Linked DNA regions of Sus scrofa. The protein of the gene in region 1 interacts with the protein of each later gene in a biochemical or structural test. Links are inferred from orthologs where the notes say so. Each region holds a gene or a part of one and is shown in the gene's direction. Other genes may lie near its edges. The genes, in order: MAGEF1 and NSMCE1.

Evidence for each region.
Region 2: the proteins of MAGEF1 (region 1) and NSMCE1 form a complex in vitro, tested with the Homo sapiens proteins (2 studies listed by BioGRID). The link is inferred for Sus scrofa from reciprocal best matches to the Homo sapiens genes MAGEF1 and NSMCE1.

Annotation. Positions count from the first base shown.
Region 1 is NC_010455.5:122,597,250-122,607,337, reverse strand, and holds MAGEF1 (melanoma-associated antigen F1), read left to right. Parts: upstream 1-4,637; 5' UTR 4,638-4,885; coding exon 4,886-5,833; 3' UTR 5,834-6,354; downstream 6,355-10,088. UniProt on the Homo sapiens protein: Enhances ubiquitin ligase activity of RING-type zinc finger-containing E3 ubiquitin ligases. Proposed to act through recruitment and/or stabilization of the E2 ubiquitin-conjugating enzyme at the E3:substrate complex.
Region 2 is NC_010445.4:19,637,170-19,647,388, forward strand, and holds part of NSMCE1 (non-structural maintenance of chromosomes element 1 homolog), read left to right. Parts: intron 1-4,770; coding exon 4,771-4,892; intron 4,893-5,891; coding exon 5,892-5,969; intron 5,970-7,745; coding exon 7,746-7,892; intron 7,893-10,219. UniProt on the Homo sapiens protein: RING-type zinc finger-containing E3 ubiquitin ligase that assembles with melanoma antigen protein (MAGE) to catalyze the direct transfer of ubiquitin from E2 ubiquitin-conjugating enzyme to a specific substrate.

The DNA of each region.
Region 1 (10,088 bases):
GCGGGTGGGATAGAGGAGGAGGGAGGGATGACGGGGCCCCGTGCCCCCTGCATCCCTCCCCTCCCCGGCCAGGCCAAGGTCTGTTCCTCCTCTGGGTTGGGTGTTAAGTTACAGACACTGGTGGGTCACAGGCAGCCAAACACTGAAGCACTGTTGCTTACACAATTGCTCTTCAAATAGTAACAAACAATTTTCATTACCCAAGTCAGATCGAATCATCCGCCTGGCCATCCTGCTTCAATGCCCGCCACACATACAAGACCCATGGCTTCACACTCTGCCCATTCTGCTGTGACAAAACTGGGCTCCCTTTTGCCCCTGGCCCAGGGACGTGGGACAAAGCTCTTCCTCTGATCCCTTCTTTGAGTCGGATCAGCTGCATGGCTGTCAAAACTGTCAGGAGAAATAGAGAAGACAGGAGCAGCTCTGCAGTTTGGGGCTCACTTGGACCTAGGCTGGGATGTCACTCAGCATCTGTGCGAAGAAGGCACTCAGGAGTTTGGAGGACTCTATTGACAAGTTTAGAAGGAATCCAACAAGATAGCTCTGGCTCCCCACCAAGGCATCCACTAGCCTTAGCTGGAGTGTCAGGACTTGACATTTCTTTATTTAATCTGTTTTGGCCAGACAGTTTTTTCAACCAGGAATGTGTGAGCTCATTCCAAAATGTCTGCATGAGAGGCCAGTCACACTCATTACTGAGAGTTTTCTACCATATCACTTAAAAAAAAAATTCTGTAATATTTTATATTTGTTACTTCATAGTAGAGCATTTTGAAAGTAGGCTTACATTTATAATCTTACTCGAACCTCAAAATAACTGTGGGGACTGGCAAAGCTAAGGTTGTAAGGCCTAAGGTTGAGGAAACGGCAGCTCAGAGAGGTTAAGTATGCTGTGCAAGGTCAGAGAACGAGTGAATGGGGAGGGAGAACCCAGAACTCAGGTCTTCTGACCTGGTTCGGTGCTTTGTTAGAGGACACACATTTTCTACACCCAGAATGCTAGACAGTTCCATGATAATTCATCCTTCAGTTCCACTTTTCCAGTATAACTCCCTTGTCCTTTTCCGTATACCAAACTGTACTAAGTACTATAGGCGTTCAAAGACTATAGTCTCGGCTACAAAGGACCATCCTTCAGGAAGGTTTCCAGCTAACAGTCACCAAGGTTTTGTTTTGCCATCCCCCCAACCCCCACCAAAGAGATATACATTTCCTCCCTTTCAGCAACTTAGGTAAGAATTGTTTTAAAATCTGCCTGCCCAGTATGAGGTCGGCACAATCAAAACTGGAAAATGACTGTCTAGGGCCCTTCCAGAACAAAACACTGTAGGATCTAGGGGTTGGTAAGTGGCAAGGCACATACCCCTCATCACCTCCTATACCTAAAGACCCATTCATTTAATTTTTTAAAAACTTTTTTACACGGTGACTATGGTTAGTAATACTGTATTATGTATTTGTTTGTTTGTTTTGTCCTTTTTTAGGGCCACACCCATGGCATCTGGAGGTTCCCAGGTCAGGGGTCCAATCAGAGCTGCAGCCGCCAGCCTACTCCAGCCTACAGCAGTGCCAGGTCCAAGCCGTGTCTGCGACCTACACCACAGTTCATGGCAATGCTGGATTCCTAACCCACTAAGCGAGGCCAGGGATCAAACCTGAAACCTCACGGTTCCTAGTCAGATTCATTTCCGCTGCACCACGGCGGGAACTCCTGTATTGCATATTTGAAAGTGGCAGAGAGAATAGATCTTAAAAGTTCTCATCACAAGAAAAAAGATCTTGTAACTATGGTGAAGGATGTTCACTAGACTTATTGTGGTGATCATTTCACAATATATATGAATACTGAATCATTACATTGTACCCCTGAACCTAATGTTATCTGTCAATTATGGCTCAATTTTAAAACTTTTTTATAACTTTTCAGAGAACATTTCCATCACCCCCAGAAAGTTCACGCATATCCCTTTCCAGTCAACCCCACTCCAGGCCTCCATTGTTCTCATTTCTGTCACCAACAATTAGCTCTGTCTTAGACATCAGATTAACTGGAATCATATTGTATATAATCTTTTGTATCTTTCTTCTTTCACTCAACATAATGTCAGCCAGACTCATCCATGTTGTATCAGTAATTTGTTCCTTTTTTTTTTTTCAGATGAATAGCATAACAAATTATTCATTCAGTTTTCAAAATCCAATCATATACTGCTAACTTGCCCCTCAAAAAATTCCTTCCATTCAATGTATCTCCTGCATGCTCCTCTCCACGTTCTATCTCCTCCATATCTCCTTGCCAATGCTTGAAGTGAGAAAGCTATGTAAGTAACCTAGTTTATCTCCAGCAATGCCCTTTTAGGCAGAAGTGGTTCTACCTTCAGGGGAAACTGATAACCAGGCATCCAGCGTGGTGGTCATGAGGACAATCTTCAGACTAGACAGATCTGGATCCTCCTTTCCGGTCTAGCACTTAACAGATGGGTGGTTGGTGATAGGTGATTTAACCTCTCTGACTGTTTTCCCATTTGTAAAAGGAGGATAATAATACCTTCCTAATGGGGATTTGCAAAGACTAAATTATGTTGTACATAAAATGTTTGGCATAATAGAAACTAATAATAGCCTCAAGCTAGACTATAATAAACATCCTCCTGCTTCATTCACACACTTTCAGTTTTTGTAAGTAATAAAGTATAAATGGGTATATATTTTCAGAAGTTTTTAAAAATGAAAAGTTCATAATTACATCTAGAAAAGCCTGTCAGATACTTACTTAAACAGTATTTCCTATGGGAAAAAAGTAAAGCTTTCCATTGTTTACTCAATGACAATTATATCCTGAGTGCCAACACTGAGGGGATCTTCGAAAGACTTAAGGACATAGCCCTACCTTTTAGGAGGTTTGGTTTGGGGGGGTAATAAGATAAGCACAAAAATAACTACAATATGAAGCAGAGTAAGACCAATAGAAATAATAATAAACATCTATTAATACAGTGGTTAGGAGCATGGTCTCTGGAGTCATGATTGCAAACAGTGGTTCAGTCATGTGCTGTTGGGGAAATTACCTAACCTCTTTGTGTGTTATTTCACTTGTAAAAGGGGGATAATAATACCACTTATCTAGCAGGGCTGTTATGAGAAGTAGATGAGTTAATACATGTAAAAAATGAGCACAGTAACAGCACATTACAAATATGCAAAAAAATAGCTAACAGTTATTGAACACTATATGCCAAACATTGTGTTAGTTTATATGCATTACTTCACATAATCTCTACAATGTTGTCTTGCATTATACCCATTTTACTGACAAGGCAACTGAGGGACAGGAAGTTTAGGTTAATTCGTCCAAGACTACATAGCTAGTAAATAGCAAATTTCATAGGACAGACATATCTATAAAACGAGGATAGTGCTAAGAGTACTTACTTTAATGAGAATTAAATAAATTAATATTGGAACGATGGTTAGAACAGAGCCTGGAGCACAATAAGGTGTATATGAGTGGGTGTTAAACAAATACAAATTTCTACGGTGATTCAGATATAGGAGTAAATAACTTCCATGCACAGAGACTAAGGAAGGCTTTGGAAAGGAGAAATTTAAGCTGATCCTAGAAATGAGGGGAAGGGTGAGAAGAGAAGCAGGGGAAGGGAAAGGAGGAGGAGAAGGGGAAGGAGGGAGGAGGAAGGGAGAGGGGAGACTGGGATGAAAGGAGGGAAAAGGGAGGGGGAAGGGAGGAAATGAGAGAAAAGGGAGAGGAGGAGTTGGAGAGGGAGGGAGAGAGGGAGGAGAGACACTAGGAGAAAGCTCAGAGTAGAGTAGGCAAAAAGAAAAAGTAATGGGAGTAGTTAAGTTTGATTACATTTTTTAAAAAACCTCCCCTTTCCTCCAATCTGTCACTATTTCTGCCAGCTATACTTCAATATATCGTTTATCATCTTCCTTTCACCCCTGTAGAATCTACTATCCTTACTCCCTCGTCATCCATTCTACGATATTTATGGAGTGCCTCTATGTGCCAGGCACTGATACACCAATGAACAAGATAGGCCACGTCTTAGTTCCTATTCTGCACTATGAAATAATACTCCAATACTTCAAGCTGGATTCCCAGTTTTTGGTCAGCCCTACTCCAATCCATTCTCTACACTGCCACCCAGAGAGACTGGAAAGATAACAGATCTGGTCTGGGCACTCCTTTGTTTAATCTTCCTGTTGCATATTCCCATCGTCCTCAGAAAAGATTTCAATCTGCCTAGCATCCTGTTCAAGGCCCTGCACCGTCCCGCACAGCCTTATCTCCCAGCCTTCATCTCCTTACATTCCGCATTTGAACCACAGTAAATTACTCAAAATCTTAGGTACACACACTTAGAATCAAGCGCCTGCTGAAAGGACGTGGCTAGAACTCCATCCTACTCCATTCTTGCACACTGAAACCTTGAGAAATTCCTGGTTATCCTCCTCCAGCTTTGCAGTCTTAAAAAGCTGCGCAAACTACACTCTTCCACAGCCCAAGCATCCCGGAAAGCCGGTGCGCACCTCCAACCCAGCGGTAGCCGGAAAAGGAGGGGCTTCGCCGGCCTCCGGGCCGCCATCTTGGCTGAGTTGGCCGGAAGTGTTACGGCGATCCAGCGGCGGGCGCGCACTGAGGCTGCGCGGCGGCGGCGGCGCAGGTCTTGAGCGCCGGCGGCGTTGCGGCGACCGTCCCGAGCCGTGTGCGGTACCGCCTAGCAGCCACAGAAACCCCTGTGTCATCTCTCCTAGTCCTACTCCAGGCGCCCCAGCCGCTGTCCAACCCTTCCGCCAGGGTTTGCGCAGCGGCTTGCACATCCCTCGGCCCGAGTACGCGCTTTGCACCTGCCTGCGCAAAAACATGTTGCAGAAACCCGAGAGCGGGGTTCTCCCCGTCCCTCAAGTCGAGGGGGAGATGGATGGCAGCCATGACGGTGAGACCCAGGCCCTGACCGTCTCGCAGGAGGAGGCCCCGAGCCCCCTCCTGCAAGAGAGCCCAGAGGAGGACCTTGACGCAGTAAAGGAGGAAGGGGCTGCGGAGCCCGCCCTCACCCCGAAAGGTGCGAGGGCCTTGGCAGCCAAAACTTTGGCCCGGCGCCGGGCTTGCCGCCGTCTGGATCGGACGGTGGCCGAGTTGGTGCAGTTTCTGCTGGTGAAGGACAAGAAGAAGAGTCCCATCACTCGCTCGGAGATGGTGAAGTATGTTATCGGAGACTTGAAGGATCTGTTCCCCGAGATCATCGCAAGGGCCGCAGAGCATCTGCGGTATGTCTTTGGTTTCGAGCTGAAACAGCTTGACCGCAAGCACCACACTTACATCCTGATGAACAAACTAAAACCTCCTGAGGATAAGGAGGAGGATCTGGGAGGAGATGGCCCCAGACTGGGTCTCTTAATGATGATCTTGGGCCTTATCTACATGAAAGGTAATAGCGCCAGGGAGGCACAGGTCTGGGAGATGCTGCGTCGGTTGGGGGTGCGTCCCTCAAAATATCACTTCCTCTTTGGGTACCCGAAGAGGCTTATTATGGAAGATTTCGTGCAGCTGAGATACCTCAATTACAGGCGTGTGCCTCACACCAACCCACCGGAATGTGAATTCTCTTGGGGTCCCCGAAGCAACCTGGAAACCAGCAAGATGAAAGTCCTGGGGTTCGTGGCCAAGCTCCATAAGAAAGAACCCCAACACTGGCCAGTGCTGTACCGTGAGGCCCTGGCAGACGAGGCTGACAGAGCCAGAGCTGAGGCCAGTATTAGGCCTAGGGCTAGGGCCAGAGCCAATGCTAGGGCCGGCAATCACCGCTGGTGAGGGCTATTGGAAGAGTGGCCAGCCGGAGGGGGGGGGGCTGAGGGGGTGGGTGGAGTTGGGCACAAAAACTACTGAGTCTAAGTAGAATAGGTGGGGGGAGGGTCGTGTTTTCTGTAGCGGTTGTATTTATGTAACTAGGATTTAGGTTTTGTATCTTGCTAAGTTTTGTTACATTTAATATACTGTTAAATTGATGTTTGTAAATGAGATTCGTATACTTTTTCCTGTAGGATTTTGTTGTAAAGTTTTGCTGGTTTTGTAAAATGAATTGAAAAACATTTTATTCTGTGATCTTGAACAAATGATGCAACAGTGAATGCTGTACTTAGGTAGTTTAAAGGAACTCAGCAGTATGATGATCTGGTACCAGAAAAAAAATAACTGATTAGTATCTAGCTTCGCAACACTTTTTTGTGTATTGTATAAAGAAAAAAGACTGACATGTAACTCTATTTGCTTAGTTATTATAGTATCTGGGGGGGGGAATGCAATAAATTAGAAGTATAACCTGGTATACTTAATATATGTTTGTTAAGTGTCTTTTGTGTAATGCACTGTTGGGGGTATTTGAGGATAGAGTGCTGAAAAAGATAAAGGTCCTACATTTCAGAACTGGACAGTAAATAAATAAACAGGAAATTACAGTGCAGTGAGTTGAAGACTACAGAAAGCCACCCAACCCAGCTGGGGGATTGGTTGAGGCTTGCCTGAGGTTCCCTTTAGTTGGACTTTGGTGTAGCAGTGGGAAGGGTGGAGAAGAGGGGAAGGAAAAGAAGAAGTTAGGGGGTGGGAAGCGGTTAAGATCATAGATGCTGATCAGTAACATGGGAAGACTTGATACATGGCAGATCTGGAAAACACCTTACTTGTCAGTGCTCTTGGCCCAAGGCAATTTATTACAGTGTGCAAATAATGATGGTGACAACTAGCATTTTGGTCTTCACTATCTCTCTTATCGCAACCTCTACAGGCTTCCCTCTTCTACCAGCACCCTCAGAGACCAAATATTATAACAATTCTGGAATAGTATGTCATATGGGTGGAGGGTACACCCACTATAGGGTTCCCCACTATCAAGAACTTCTACTTCAAGATTTCTCCTTTGGCACCAGGAAGCCCAGCACCCTCATCCATCTTTCTACTTGCTACTCACCACCTGCCATCTCCCATCTGGAGGAGAACTGCAAGGCATCTTTCACATCCTTATCTACCCACGAAGAATCATTTACAAAAGCAGCCTAAGCCTCTGCAGTGCCTCCACCTTCACTCTGGGATAAGTCCTGTAATTCTGGGTTCACAAAGTAAGGAACCTAGAGGAAGTGGTAACCAAACCAGAGGTTGATGTAGGGAAGACTGTGAAACTGTCCCCCTACAGACACCATATTCAGAAGGGCCACTTCTCTTTACTGCTGTTTGGTTTTTTGTTTTTCTGTTTTTTTTTTTTTTTCCTGCTTTCAGTTCTGTGTAAATAACACTTCTGAGTATGTTAAGGTTAGCATGGAATACAGATACTTTGGGACACAGACCCAGGGATCCAGCAAATCATACTGAAACCAAGAGTCATGAGCTTACGGGTAAAAAAAGTTTACTAGTGATTAAAAATATGACTTCTGGGCAGCTTATGATTCATTAAACAAAAATACTGAGTGCCCACTATATGCCAAAGACTACTGGATTCCAGAGATTAAAATGGGAAAACTGGCTTTACCCTCAAGGAGCAATAGCATTAATTTCTCACATTTGTATTTTCCCACAGCTGCTGAGAGCTCAGCAGTGTGTGCACCCAAGGGTCTGATTACTTGGTGATTTGCCTCTGATCACTTGGCAAAAGAAGCACCAAGCCTGGAACCCAAGTCCCTTGTCTCCCAGTGTGTTTCATTCTAGTCCATTGCTCCCTGTGTCTGACTTCCAATATATTGTATGTGATTTTATTGATCACCATTCCAAAAATCAAGTGAGGCATGTATAATTATCTCCAGTTGTCACTGCAGTCCTTATGGGAGGGAGCAGAGTAGAAATACTCCTCATTTCACTGGCAGCAGAGGTGACTTTGCCGAAGGTCACACATGTAGTTTGTGGCAAGCCAGGACTAACAACTACCATTTTTCAACATCTGCTATGGGCCCTACTTTTCATAACCATATTGAAAGAGGGTATTACAAAATACCTCCATTATATAGATATTAATACTTGCCATTTATCCAATACCTAATGTGAGCCAGCTCCTTCATGTCTTAACATATGTTTTAATGACTTTTACAACAATCTAACAGGATAGATATTATCTGTTCCATTTTGAACTATGCAAACAAACTCAGAGAAGCCATAAAGTTCTCATAGATAGTGTGTGACAAAAGGATTGGAACTGAAATCTGAGTCAAAACCCCACACTTTTCACTATTTTACATTTCCTTCTTCTTGGGAATCCTTTCAGACTTGGGGACTCATGTTCTTTCTTCTAAACATGGCTGTCTCTCTGGAGATACAAATAAGGGTGTGTAACCAAGGTAATTGTGACAAGACATTGGCCTGTAGGAGGGTAGAAAGGAGGCTAAAATAAAGTTGGAAAATTATCTGTGAACATCGGTCCTGGCTCTGCTTACCCTCACTGTTCTCAGAATGCTGACTACATGTAAAATGTGTAATTTTGCTCAAAGTCAGCATGTTTTGCCTTTTAGGCCATGTTTCCTCAGTCTTCATTAGTCTGCTCTCTCCGCTAAGCCTTGACTTAGTCTTTCATGCCATGAAACAATCAAATAACATTTGTGGACCTGCAAATAGGATTCCCAGCATTATTTCCAGATGTTACAAAGGGCTGGCAGAACTCAGACCCTTGCCTCAGGATGAAAGACCTCCCATGTCACAGATGTCATCATCAACTTCTCAGAAGTTGTCTTTTGAGGGCTGCACCCAAGGCATATGGAGGTTCCCAGGGTAGGGGTGCAATCGGAGCTGTAGCTGCTGGCCTGCACCACAGCCCAGCAATGCAGGATCTGAGCCGAGTCTGCGACCTACACCACAGCTCATGACAACACCGGATCCTTAACCCACTGAGCAAGGCCAGGGATCAAACCCGCGTCCTCATTAATATTGGTCAGGTTCGTTAACCACTGAGACACGACAGGAACTCCTCTCAGAAATATTTAAAGTGTGGCCTCTGGGCCTGTGTGTAGAGCAGACCTTGGCCATGTTAAGGACAAGAGATGCATCCTCCTGCTGCTTATGGTCATTCACATAAGGGAGAGGGAAGGCCTGGATCGCTGGCTGCTTTCCCCTTCAGGCATAAACATAATGAGATCTTCCTGGGTGAAATACCGTGTGGGTGGGAGAGCAGAGAGATGTTGTTGGGGCAGATGGATTTTTCCAAATCATGCTTATTATACCACAACTAGAAAGCAAAGCCAGTGAACGAAATTCCCTTGAAAACTACAAATCATGCCTTAGACAATGAGAAGGTCTTAGTTCAGTCACAGACTCTGTAGGGATCTTGACATCCAGGAGTCGGGACTTTCGACCCACTGAAATGTGGAGAATGGGTGTTTGGCAATGGGCTCAGGGTGATTACAGCCCCAACAACTAGCAGGTACATGATGCTCCAAAGGTGGCAGCTCATTTGCCTGCAGCCCCTGCAAATCAGGCCTCAATTCACAGGCTCAATCACAGTTTCCACTTGAGATAATTGGGCTTCATGCCTTGGTCGTGGTGGCAATTGATGCTAGTGCAAATTATTCCTCAAATTTTGCAGCCCAGCAGAGATGGCAACAATTACCTCCCAGCAGAACTATAGTATACTAACTAAAGAGGTTAGGTATTCCAGAAAGTATCCCAATCAAGGCCTTTTAAAAGTCATGACTATGTGACCTTGAACAAGGCATTCCAAACTCTGAGGACTGAAGCTCTAGGAAAGCTTAGTGGGTGATGGGAGTTAGTGGTTAGCTAGAGTCCATACCCACAACCCATCCTACCAGCTGATTGCTGACTCTGCCCAGTTCCCAGGTTAGTCATGACTGATAACAATAGCAGCCAACAATTATTAAGCCTTATGTGACAGGCATGGTACTAAGTATGATAACCAAATCGTCCCATGTGTCTACACAATAGCCCCATGAGGCAGGTGCTACGTTTGCCAACATTAACAATACTGTAGGCAGGAGTTCCCATTGTGGTGCAGTGGAAACGAATCTGACTAGGAACCATGAGGTTGCGGGTTCGATCCCTGGCCTTGCTCAGTGGGTTAAGGATCTGGCATTGCCAT
Region 2 (10,219 bases), on another chromosome or scaffold:
TCGTTAACCTGATGGGAACTCCAAGCCTGATATTTTGATAGTGACCTGAAGCCTATGTTTTTTTTGTTTGTTTGTTTGTTTTCCTCAATGGGCTCCAGGAACAGGGGCAGGAGAGAGGGCAGAACCGTGCAAATTAGCTGGTTTGAAGACTCGGCTTGGGGGACGCACCCATTTGGGGTTACCTCAATGCTTCAGGGGCAAGTCAGGGGTCTCAGTAGCGAGGGTTCCCAGTTCTGGCCAACTTCAAAAGGAACGTGTTGAGGGGATACTTGGGACAGGGACACCCAGGCCTGATTGATAGCCAGGGGCCAGGCTGGAGGGGAACAGGCAGGAGCCAGAGGACACCAGGGCACAGGAAGCAGAGCAGCCGCACAGCCACAGCCACCTTCCTTCTGTGGCGGCTGGGCTGGAAGCACCTGCCGGCGCCCCTTTGTCCCTTGCTCAGCTCGAGAGGGTGTCTGATAGGCTGAGCTTGGGTTCGGGGCCCACCCTGGAATTGGGTTCCTGGTGGACCTGGGATCTGGCGCCCTCGGCTCCCTGCCCCCTGGTTCTCTGGACGTGGGACTGGTTCTCCTACCACGTCACATGTGTAGGGGAAAGACGGACTCTGGGAGTGGGGCGGCCAATTTGGTTCCTGGACCAAGTGTGATGGGGACAGAAGTGCTCGGGGACTGTGGTGCGAGGGGGTGGCGGGGTCAGTGAGGTGAGGGCAGGCCTGCCCAGGAGAGGTGCGTGTCCAGGATGCCAGGGGCTCAGGAGCCCTGCCGGTTGGAGCTGGGCAGGCGGTAGAGTTGGAGGGGAGTTTTCTAGACGCAGGTGAGGTTGGACGCCAGGCGGCGGGGGCCCCTGCGGGGATGAGAGGAAGGGAGAAAGGGGTTGCCCAGAGAATCAGGCCGAGCTGGGCAGCCCTGCTGCTGGCCCGTGGCCCACGCCACCTCTGTTGCCCCTAAGAAATCAAGTGGGGGGTTGTTGCTGGGCACGAGAGGAGCTTTTTCCCAGGCAGTGATGCAGCGCAGGGCCAACACCCCCAGGCTGGCAGCGGATGGGCTGTGCCAGGGACGCTCGTGCGCGGGAGGGAAGTGAGCCCCTGAGGCAGGTGGCTGCAGTGAGGACCGTAGTAGGAAGTGGAGTTTGGTGGGGTTTTTTTTTTATAAGATGAAAAGACCTTGAAAACATTCACGTTTCTGAAAAGGGAGGCTGGACAGCAAACCAGAGGTGGGAAAGGGGGGAAGCGCAGGGCGGCTATTAGCTCATCTCCGCGCGGACCCAGTTTCTGGAAAGTCCGACGTGGTAGAAGGCGTTTGATCTGCCCACGGGGTACATTTTTCTGAACGACACCCAGGAGAGAGGCCTTTTCAGTGGAAAATGTGAATTCTCGCTTTCAGAGGGACGTGGGACTTGCCCCTGTGTCACAGGCGGGGTGGTTCTTCGCTGCCCGAGGGCCCCCGCGGCCGCGTTTCCCAGCCTCTCATTGGGTGTGGGGCAGGTGGAAAGGGGTTTCCAGCAAGCTCAGGGCACAGACCTGGACAGGCTGGGGAGGAAGGAAGCCTGACAGCCCTTCGTGCAAGGGCGGGAGGGACACCTTCTGGGCTTGCTTTCTAACTGGGAGGCAGAGGTGGGGGAGGTCATTGGGGGGCGCTCTTGGAGAGCCTCTCTCACTCCTCTGATCAGTTTTTCAGCAGATGTGGCTAGATTTTATCATCATGTTACTGTTAGGATTTTTTTTTTTTTTTTTTTTTGTCTTTTTAGGCTGCACCTGCAGCATGTGGAGGTTCCCAGGCTAGGGGGTCTGTCTAATTGGAGCTGTTGCTGCCAGCCTACACCACAGCCGCAGCCATGCCTGCGACCTACACCACAGCTCATGGCAACGCCAGATCCTCAACCCAAGGAGGGAGGCCAGGGATTGAACCCGCAACCTCATGGTTCCTAGTCGGATTCATTTCCGCTGCGCCATGACAGGAACTCCCACTGTTGGGATTTTTGCCACATCTGTGTACCATCTGTTTATTACTACTCTTTTTTTTTTTTTTTTTTTTTTGTCTTTTTTGCTATTTCTTTGGGCCGCTCCCGAGGCATATGGAGGTTCCCAGGCTAGGGGTCGAATCGGAGCTGCAGCCACCGGCCTATGCCAGAGCCACTGCAACGTGGGATCCGAGCTGCGTCTGCAACCTACACCACAGCTCACGGCAACGCCAGATCGTTAACCTACTAAGCAAGGGCAGGGACCGAACCCGCAACCTCATGGTTCCTAGTCGGATTCGTCAACCACTGCGCCACGACGGGAACTCCTACTACTCATTTTTAATTTAAATTTGCTTTTTTTAAAAAAAACATAAGCAACTTTACTTATAAAAGATTAGATCCCTGCTATAATTTGCATATTAGTACTACTGTTCTGGTCTTTGTCATTAGCTTTTCTCGGCCTCCTCAGTAGACACGGTATCTGTGTCACAGCTGTTGCCATAACACAGCTGTGACCTCCATTTGCCACCAGTGTGATCTTTTTTATTTTTTTAAACTTTAATAATTTTTTTTTTGGTCTTTCTCTCATTTTAGGGCCGCTCCCGTGGCATATGGAGGTTCCCAGGCAAGGGGTACAATCGGAGCTGTTGCTGCTGGCCTACACCACAGCCACAGCAATGCCAAATACAAGCTGCGTCTGCAGCCTACACCACAGGTCACAGTAATGCCGGATCCTTAACCCACTGAACCAGGCCAGGGATCAAACCTGCAACCTCATGGTTCCTAGTCGGATTCATTGCTGCTGTGCCACGGCGGGAACTCCTAAACTTTGATAATATTTAGGTAGGCAAGGCGCTTACAAGTACCCTTCTCCTTGAGAGGCCAACCAGATTAAGTTCAGATGCCCTGGGCTGGCCCCCTCACCCAGTCCCTTCCTAGTGATGGTGGGTAGCCTTGCTCGCCTGTCCCCTGCAGTATTATTTCCTGGGTTTTAATTTTGTTTTAACGTAAATGTTACATTGTTTTCTTGCCTTTTTTTTTTTTTTTTTAAGCTATTTTTTAGGGCCGCACCCACTGCATATGGAGGTTCTCAGGCTAGGGGTCAAATCGGAGCTTAGAGCCACCAGTCTACACCACAGCCACAGCAATGCCAGACCCAAGCCACATCTGCAAACTACACCACAGCTCATGGCAATGCCAAATCTTTAGCCCACTGAGCAAGGCCAGGGATTGAACCCGAATCCTCATGGATACTAGACGGATTTGTTTCCTCTGAGCCACAACGGGAACTCCCTTGTGGGTTTTTTTTTCTCCTTCAAGTGATTTTTCTAAAGCACAAATCTTTTGATGTTGTTTATTTTAACAACTAAAAACAGTAATAGATACTCTTGGTTTAAAAAAGTGTCATAGTACAGAAGGGTAATTCTAAGACACAAGATTTTTTTTCCTTCGCGTGATTTTTCTAAGGCACAAATCTTTTGACGTTGCTTGTTTTAACAACTAAAAACAGTAATAGATACTCTTGGTTTAAAAAAGTGTCATAGTACAGAAGGGTAATTCTAAGACACAAGACTGACATCTTCCGCCTCTGCTTCCAACTCAAAAGGCTCCCACTGCCCACAGGAGAAAGGCCACACGCTCCCCCAGCCTGCGGGGCCCTGCTCGATCCAGCTCCTGCTTCCTGCTGCAGCCTCATCGGCCCTCCCGGCCATCCTTCCTTCCTTCCCCTGCCAGGGCCCTGTCCGTCCACCCCGGCCCCCCTGCAGTGCTGGCTTGGCCTCCCCCTCCCCGGGCTCTGTCGGTGTCCTCTCTCGGATGGGCCAATGGCCCTGGGGAGGGGTGCGGGCTTCCTTGTGCGCATCCCTTGGCTTGCTCGAGTCCCGTTGTCGGGCAGCACAGGTGGCTGTGTTGGCGGGCTCCCCACTGCTCAGTCCCCCTCTGCGTCTTGGCCTCTTCCCTGAACCAGGAGGCTGCCTGTGCCTGCCTGGGGGGCTGTGGGCAGGATGGGTAAATTACTGTGTAAGGGAGTTCCCATCGTGGCGCAGTGGTTAATGAATCTGACTAGGAACCCTGAGGTTGTGGGTTCGATCCCTGGCCTTGCTCAGTGGGTTAAGGATCCCGTGTTGCTGTGGCTCTGGTGTAGGCCAGTGTCTACACCTCTGATTGGACCCCTAGCCTGGGAACCTACATATGCCGTGGGAGCAGCCCTAGAAAAGGCAAAAAGACCAAAAAACAAAAAAAAAAAATTACTGTGTGAGAAGCGCTCAGATTCGGGCTTTCCTGGGGCCGGTGCTCAGTGTGAGCTGCTGCTCTTACCCTGCAGTTGTCATCCTTCATGGTTGCAGCCGCCCCCCAGCACACAGGCCCGGGGCGTGTAAGTGCGCAGTGCAGGTTTGATTGCCGAATAAAGGGAGGAAGGCTAGAGGTAGCCCTGGTGCGTGCGTGAAGACAGAGCCTCTAGTCTAGGGAGGGGTCGTGCGGTGATGCCCACAGCAGGTTCCGAGCACACAGCCGTGCGATGAGGTGCTGAGTCGGGATGGTGACCTGGCCGCAGGGAACTGTGGTGGTGGAGCTGGTGGGGCTCAGCTACCATTTCCCGGCCCTTTTTCTTCACGGCTCCTTCCGTGTCTTTGCTTCAGGAAGAAAAAAGCCACAGGCCTTGGCGCTTCCCCAGGGGGGCTGGGCCTTCCCTTCGCCCATTTCTGGCTTCGCCGTCTCTGTTCAGGTGGATGGCGTGATTGAGTCAAGCTACAATTTTTTGAGAGAGCGCCCCCCTCGACCCTCCTTTTCTTTGGCCTTTGTTTTCAGGCAACGCTCCTGTTGAGAAGTTGGAGGACTTCATCAACAACATTAACAGTGTCCTGGAGTCTTTGTACATTGAGATAAAGAAGGGAGTCACAGAAGACGATGGGAGACCCATCTACGCGCTGGTGAGTGCGGACAGTGCCCCCTGGTGGCAGTAGGAGGGACTGCGGTCGGGAGCCCCGTGTCCTCTGTAGTGGGAAGTGTACCCACCTCACCAAGGGCCTGGAGGGAGAAGAACCCTGGGCCCAGCCGCCTCCCTGTCCTGGCCCATCTCCGCTCCCCACGGCCCCCGTGGTCTGTGGTATCTGTAGTGTCCTCTGCTGTCATCAGGGTCTGGGGTAATGGGAGCGCGTGCCCAGCTCTCAACCTCAGCGCTTGCTTCGCTGCCCCACATGGAGCCCCTGCCTGTAACCGGGCAGCATGCATTTGGTTTTAGTGTGTTTGCTGCCGGTTCTCGGCAAGAGGTCACCCCCAAATGAATGGGCCGTTAGAGCTACAGGAATAAAATGCCTTTTCACTTGGAGTGAGATAAAGAAGCTATGAGAAGGAAAAATGTGTGGGGGCCCTAAAGATGGAGACCCATATGGAGCTTCTTGTGGTTCCAGATTTTTCCCTCCCAGTTAGGGAACGAGGTGAAATATAGATGAGGAAGCGCCGACCAGCCCCCCTCCTTGGCTAGAGGACTCCTACCAGCTAGAGAGCAGGCTCCTACCAGCAGCCCCACACAGAAAGGGGCTCTAGTCCGGAGTTTCCCAAACTCTCTTCTTTGGATGAAAAGATAATGGAGTCAAATGACATGGCAATGCTGGGTTAGGTCCTTAAATCAGATTTCTTTACTGCCAGACTTCTCAGCGCCTTATGCATTTGAAGCTCCGTTAGCACGCAGACAAGTCGCCCAAAGTTAGCTGAGTTTAGAAGATACAGCACAACCTTGGGAGTTTTAAAATCTCTGAAAATTCAGCATATTGATGGGGCTAAAGATGTAAGCCTGTGATATAAAACAGGTTACATACTCATCCCTGTGGCCTGCTGCGCCTGGACGCGGGAGCTCCGTGACTGGCGAGGCAGAGGGAGAGGCAACTGGTGAATGAACGGCCTGACCCGCATGCTGACTTATTTTGTAGGTGAACCTTGCCACGACTTCAGTGTCCAAAATGGCCTCAGATTTTGCAGAGAATGAGCTGGATCTGTTTAGAAAGGCCGTAAGTACACTAACTCCCATTGCCCATTGGCCAGGCTGCTTCTGGGAAACTTGTGTCTTTCATCAGAGACGGAAACGATCATCTTAGAAAGATCTCAGGGAAACGTGCGAGAATAGAATGCGCTACATGTATGTGCAACTGGGTCACCATGCTGTACAGTAGGGAAAAAATTGTATTGGGGAAATAAATATTTTAAAAAAAAAGAAAGGTCTCAGGGAGTTCCTGTCGTGGCGCAGTGGAAACAAATCCAACTAGGAACCAAGGTGGTGGGTTCAATCCCTGGCCTCGCTCAGTAGGTTAAGGATCTGGCATTGCTGTGAGCTGTGGTGTAGGTCCCAGACATGGCTAGATCTGGCATTGCTACGGCTGTGATGTAGGCCAGCAGCTGTAGCTCCAATTTGAACCCTAGCCTGGGAACTTCGGGTTGCGGCCCTAAAAAGCGGAAAAAAAAAAAAAAGTCTCAGAAAGCCCACTGCAGGGGGATGTCACCAAGCACCCCACCCAGAATTCACAGTTGCCAGCTGATTGCTGGGGGGCGGGGGGGGGGTCGCCACGGCTGCTCAGGAAAGAAGAGCTGGTCTGGGTTTGAGCGGCAGCAGGCCTCCTGGGCGCTTGGTGCAGGTGAGCAGGTGTTACTGCTTAGTGCTGCCGTGTGGTCCAGGACTGGCTGCAGCATCACCCTGGAGGGAGCTTTCGAGAAAGGCCGGATCCCAGTCCCCACCCAGACTGTTGAATCCGAACCTGCATTCTGGGAAGGTCCCTCCAGGGTGATGCACTTGCATGGCGACATTGAGAGCCGCTGCCCTGTCACTGTTCACTGAGCCACCTTGTCGCTTACCTGGCTGAGCACCTGGTTAAAGACGGGGTTCTGAGTCCGGATGTGCGATGTAGTAACTGGGAGGTAAAACTCCAGGTCTGTGGGCTTCAAGGCTTCGAGGGCTGAGTCATAGGGTCATTCCTTTCTAAGCTTCCCCTGGGGACGACGAGCAGCCAGCGTTGAGAACCAGGCTCCAAGATGCCAGACAGGTGTGTGGGCAGAAAGCCTGTCTTCCCAGCAGCTCTGCACTGCTATGGGCAGAAGCCATAGGGCAGCCCGCCTGCCAGCCTCCCCCGGCCTGGCACCATGGGCACCATGCCTCTGAGGCCGCCAGGGGTGCTCTCCTGCTGCGCCCCCCCCCACCGGCTCTGCTTTCCTGTCACTTAGGCCAGCCTCGTGGTCTGCTCACGTTTCACTCTCAGCTTCTCCATCTTCAGGGAGGTGAAATGACCCTTCTTGATTTAAGGGGAGGCATTAAGATCATTCATTTGGGGAGTTCCCATTGTGGCTCGGTGGAAATGAATCTGACTAGTATCCACGAGGACACGGGTTCGATCCCTGGCCTGGCACAGTGGGTTAAGGATCTGGCGTTGCCGTGAGCTGTGGTGTAGGTCGCAGATGCAGCTTGGATCCCGAATTGCTGTGGTTGTGGCTGGGCCGGAAGCTACAGCTCCGACTTGACCCCTAGCCTGGGACTCTCCATATGCTGTGGGTGCAGCCCTAAAATAAAGACAAAATAAATAAGACTCTTCACTTGGGATGGCGTTACAAGAGTGACTGTGGAGTCAAAACTGAATGTGTTATGGTTTTTGATGCATATTATTGTTTTCCTGAAGGCTCCTAGATTTCTGCCTGAGATGTGAGTAATTTCACTGCACCCCTGTCGGGGTTGGTATCATTGCTTCAAAGTTATTTTTGCCGATTTAATAGATGAACGTGGTACCCGCTGTTTCTTCTAGCTGGAACTCATTATCGACTCCGAAAGCGGCTTCGCGTCTTCCACAAATATCTTGAACCTGGTCGATCAGCTCAAAGGCAAGAAGATGAGGAAGAAGGAGGCCGAGCAAGTGCTGCAGAAGTTTGTACAAAACAAATGGCTCATTGAGGTACCTGGTCCCACAGATTCTCCAGCTTGGCTCACTTTTTGGAGGGAATCATCATCTTCCCTCCCCAACCACCCTGGATCCCACGCGTGTCTGTGGAGCCAGGCCCTTTCAGGCCCCTCATCTGCTTCGATGCCCACAGTGACCCTGCGAGGAGGCCTGGAACCTCCTGGTCACTCCTGTGACCTTGTCCAGGGTGCCCCAGCTGGAAGTGGCCAGGCCTGTGACCCGGGTCCACGGGCTGGAGGCAGTGTGCACGCTGGGTAGGGGTACAGCGTGAGCACCAGCCCTGGGCCCAAATCCCGGTGCGGGTGTCCCCCGTGTCCTCATGTCTACTGAGGGGAGTGGTGGCATCCACTCCAGGTGCGTCAGGTGCCTGCTGCTGGCCCCTCAGGAATCGCTGTGACGGCACGGTTCTCAATGGCAGCATCACACTCTTCTGGACCCGTGCTCTTGGGTTCTTGCACTTAGATGGCGGCCCTTGAGGCGAGGAGCTGGAGGGAGCCGGGAAAGGTTCAAGCTTCTAGACGCCCTGCGTCTAGTTCTGTCAGCTGGAGCAGTCAGATGTCTCCGCTCTTTTTCCACAAACGCACCCCCGTTTCCAAGAAACCCAAGCCGGACGTGCTTAGCGCCGCCCTGGGTCCCACAGCCCTGCCCCTCCGCTGCCCATCTGGGCGGGACGTGCTCAGCTGGGCCCTCGACTTCCTCACTCAGCGGTCAGGCCCGAGGCTGGAGGCTGCTGCTGTGGTAACGCCATGCTTCACTTCCCTTCTGGGGAGAGGTCCCCTCTGGTGTGGTGACAGCAGTGCTCTGAGTGGTCGATCTCTTGGTGGAGGGGACCCCGGCAGCCTGACCAGAAATAGTCAGTTCCTGAGGGACTTTGCTGATGGGAGGAAAGGTCTGGCGAGGCCACAGCGGCCAGGTCAGGGGTGGCAGGTGGGGGGTGTGCCAGCATCTCTGGGCACGTCTGCACCTCAGGTCCTCCCGGCCGCCCTGTGACGACACGGAGCCCCTTAGCTCTGTTCCGTGGCCGAACCACGGCAGCCCCATGATCTGGGTGAAGTCCCACAGCCGGCAAGTGGCAGGGCCATGCTCAGCCCCCAGCTCGGGTGACTGCAGGTCCCTGTCAATTGCTTTGTCACAGTTTTCCTTCCTCTCTGGGGTGGATTTGGCAACACGGAACGTTCTGGGGCAGCTCGGGTCACAACCCCACGCTCTGTCCTCGGGCAAGCTCCCTGAGGGCCAGGCCTGCGCCCTCCTCGTGGCTGCACCTCAGTGCTCCTGAGGCCCTGGTAACTGCTTCCTGAACGGGGCGGGAGGATGGAATCCCAGAGGAACGCAATGTATCTAAAACATACCGAGGCAGTGACACCGGAAATCCTTGTAGATTGGGAAGAAGCGGTGTTTGGATGGGGGATCACGTTGCTGAGAACACGTGTCATCGTGTCATCCTCCCCCCGCCCACCGAGCTCACCCCCTGTGCCCTGCTTGGGGCCTGCAGGCGGTCGTGCATATCCAGCACGATGCTGTCACGTCACCGCGCAGGGCTGGAGGCTGTCCTTTGCTGCCCAGAGAGGGGACCAGGGAAGGAAAGAATGTGCTTCTGGGGGCTGCTGGGCTTGCCCTCGGGCCCAGCCTCCTGTCATCTCTGCTTCTTCCTCAGTGACATGGAGATGCTGGGGCCGCCTTCTCCAGGGGCGGCCCTGACCTTGGGGGAGACGGTGGCCTGGAGGCTCTGTGAGCTGAGCCCTGGCCCCCACAGCCCCACAGGCCTCAGGGGAGCCCCCTGGCTGGCTGAGCCCTCGGGCCTTTCGCGGACGAAGGAACAGGCCCGGTGCAGCAGAGGATGCGGTGGGCAGGCCCCCAGGTGCTCTGGCTTTGCTGCTGCCCGTGGCAGTGGCTTCTGGTCTCTGGGCCGTTTCCTGTCTGGAGGATGAGGACAGTGACGGCTTCGGGTGTTTCCTTCGTGAGGGCGGAGTGCTCTCTGAATGGTCAGCCTGGGGGTTGCCGTGAGTCCTGTGGCCCTCTGGAGGAACAGCTGAGGGACTTTGGGGTGGCTGCTGGCCGGTCCCCTGACCTGCCTTCCTGGGGCAGTACCTTGATCAGAGGGACCACGGCCTCTCAGAATGAGACTTTCCCCAGGAGCTGTGCTGTGCAGACTTTATTGGCCACAATGGGAGACTCACCAGTCCCTGGACAGGACTCTGCCCCGGCTCAGCTGAGTGTGGGCTGGGCAGGGTCAGTGGGGGGAGGCCCCAGGACCGGGGAACCCTCAGAAGGTGTGGCCCCTTGGAGCTTGGATGCCATTCATTGACTTCAACGGATAAACT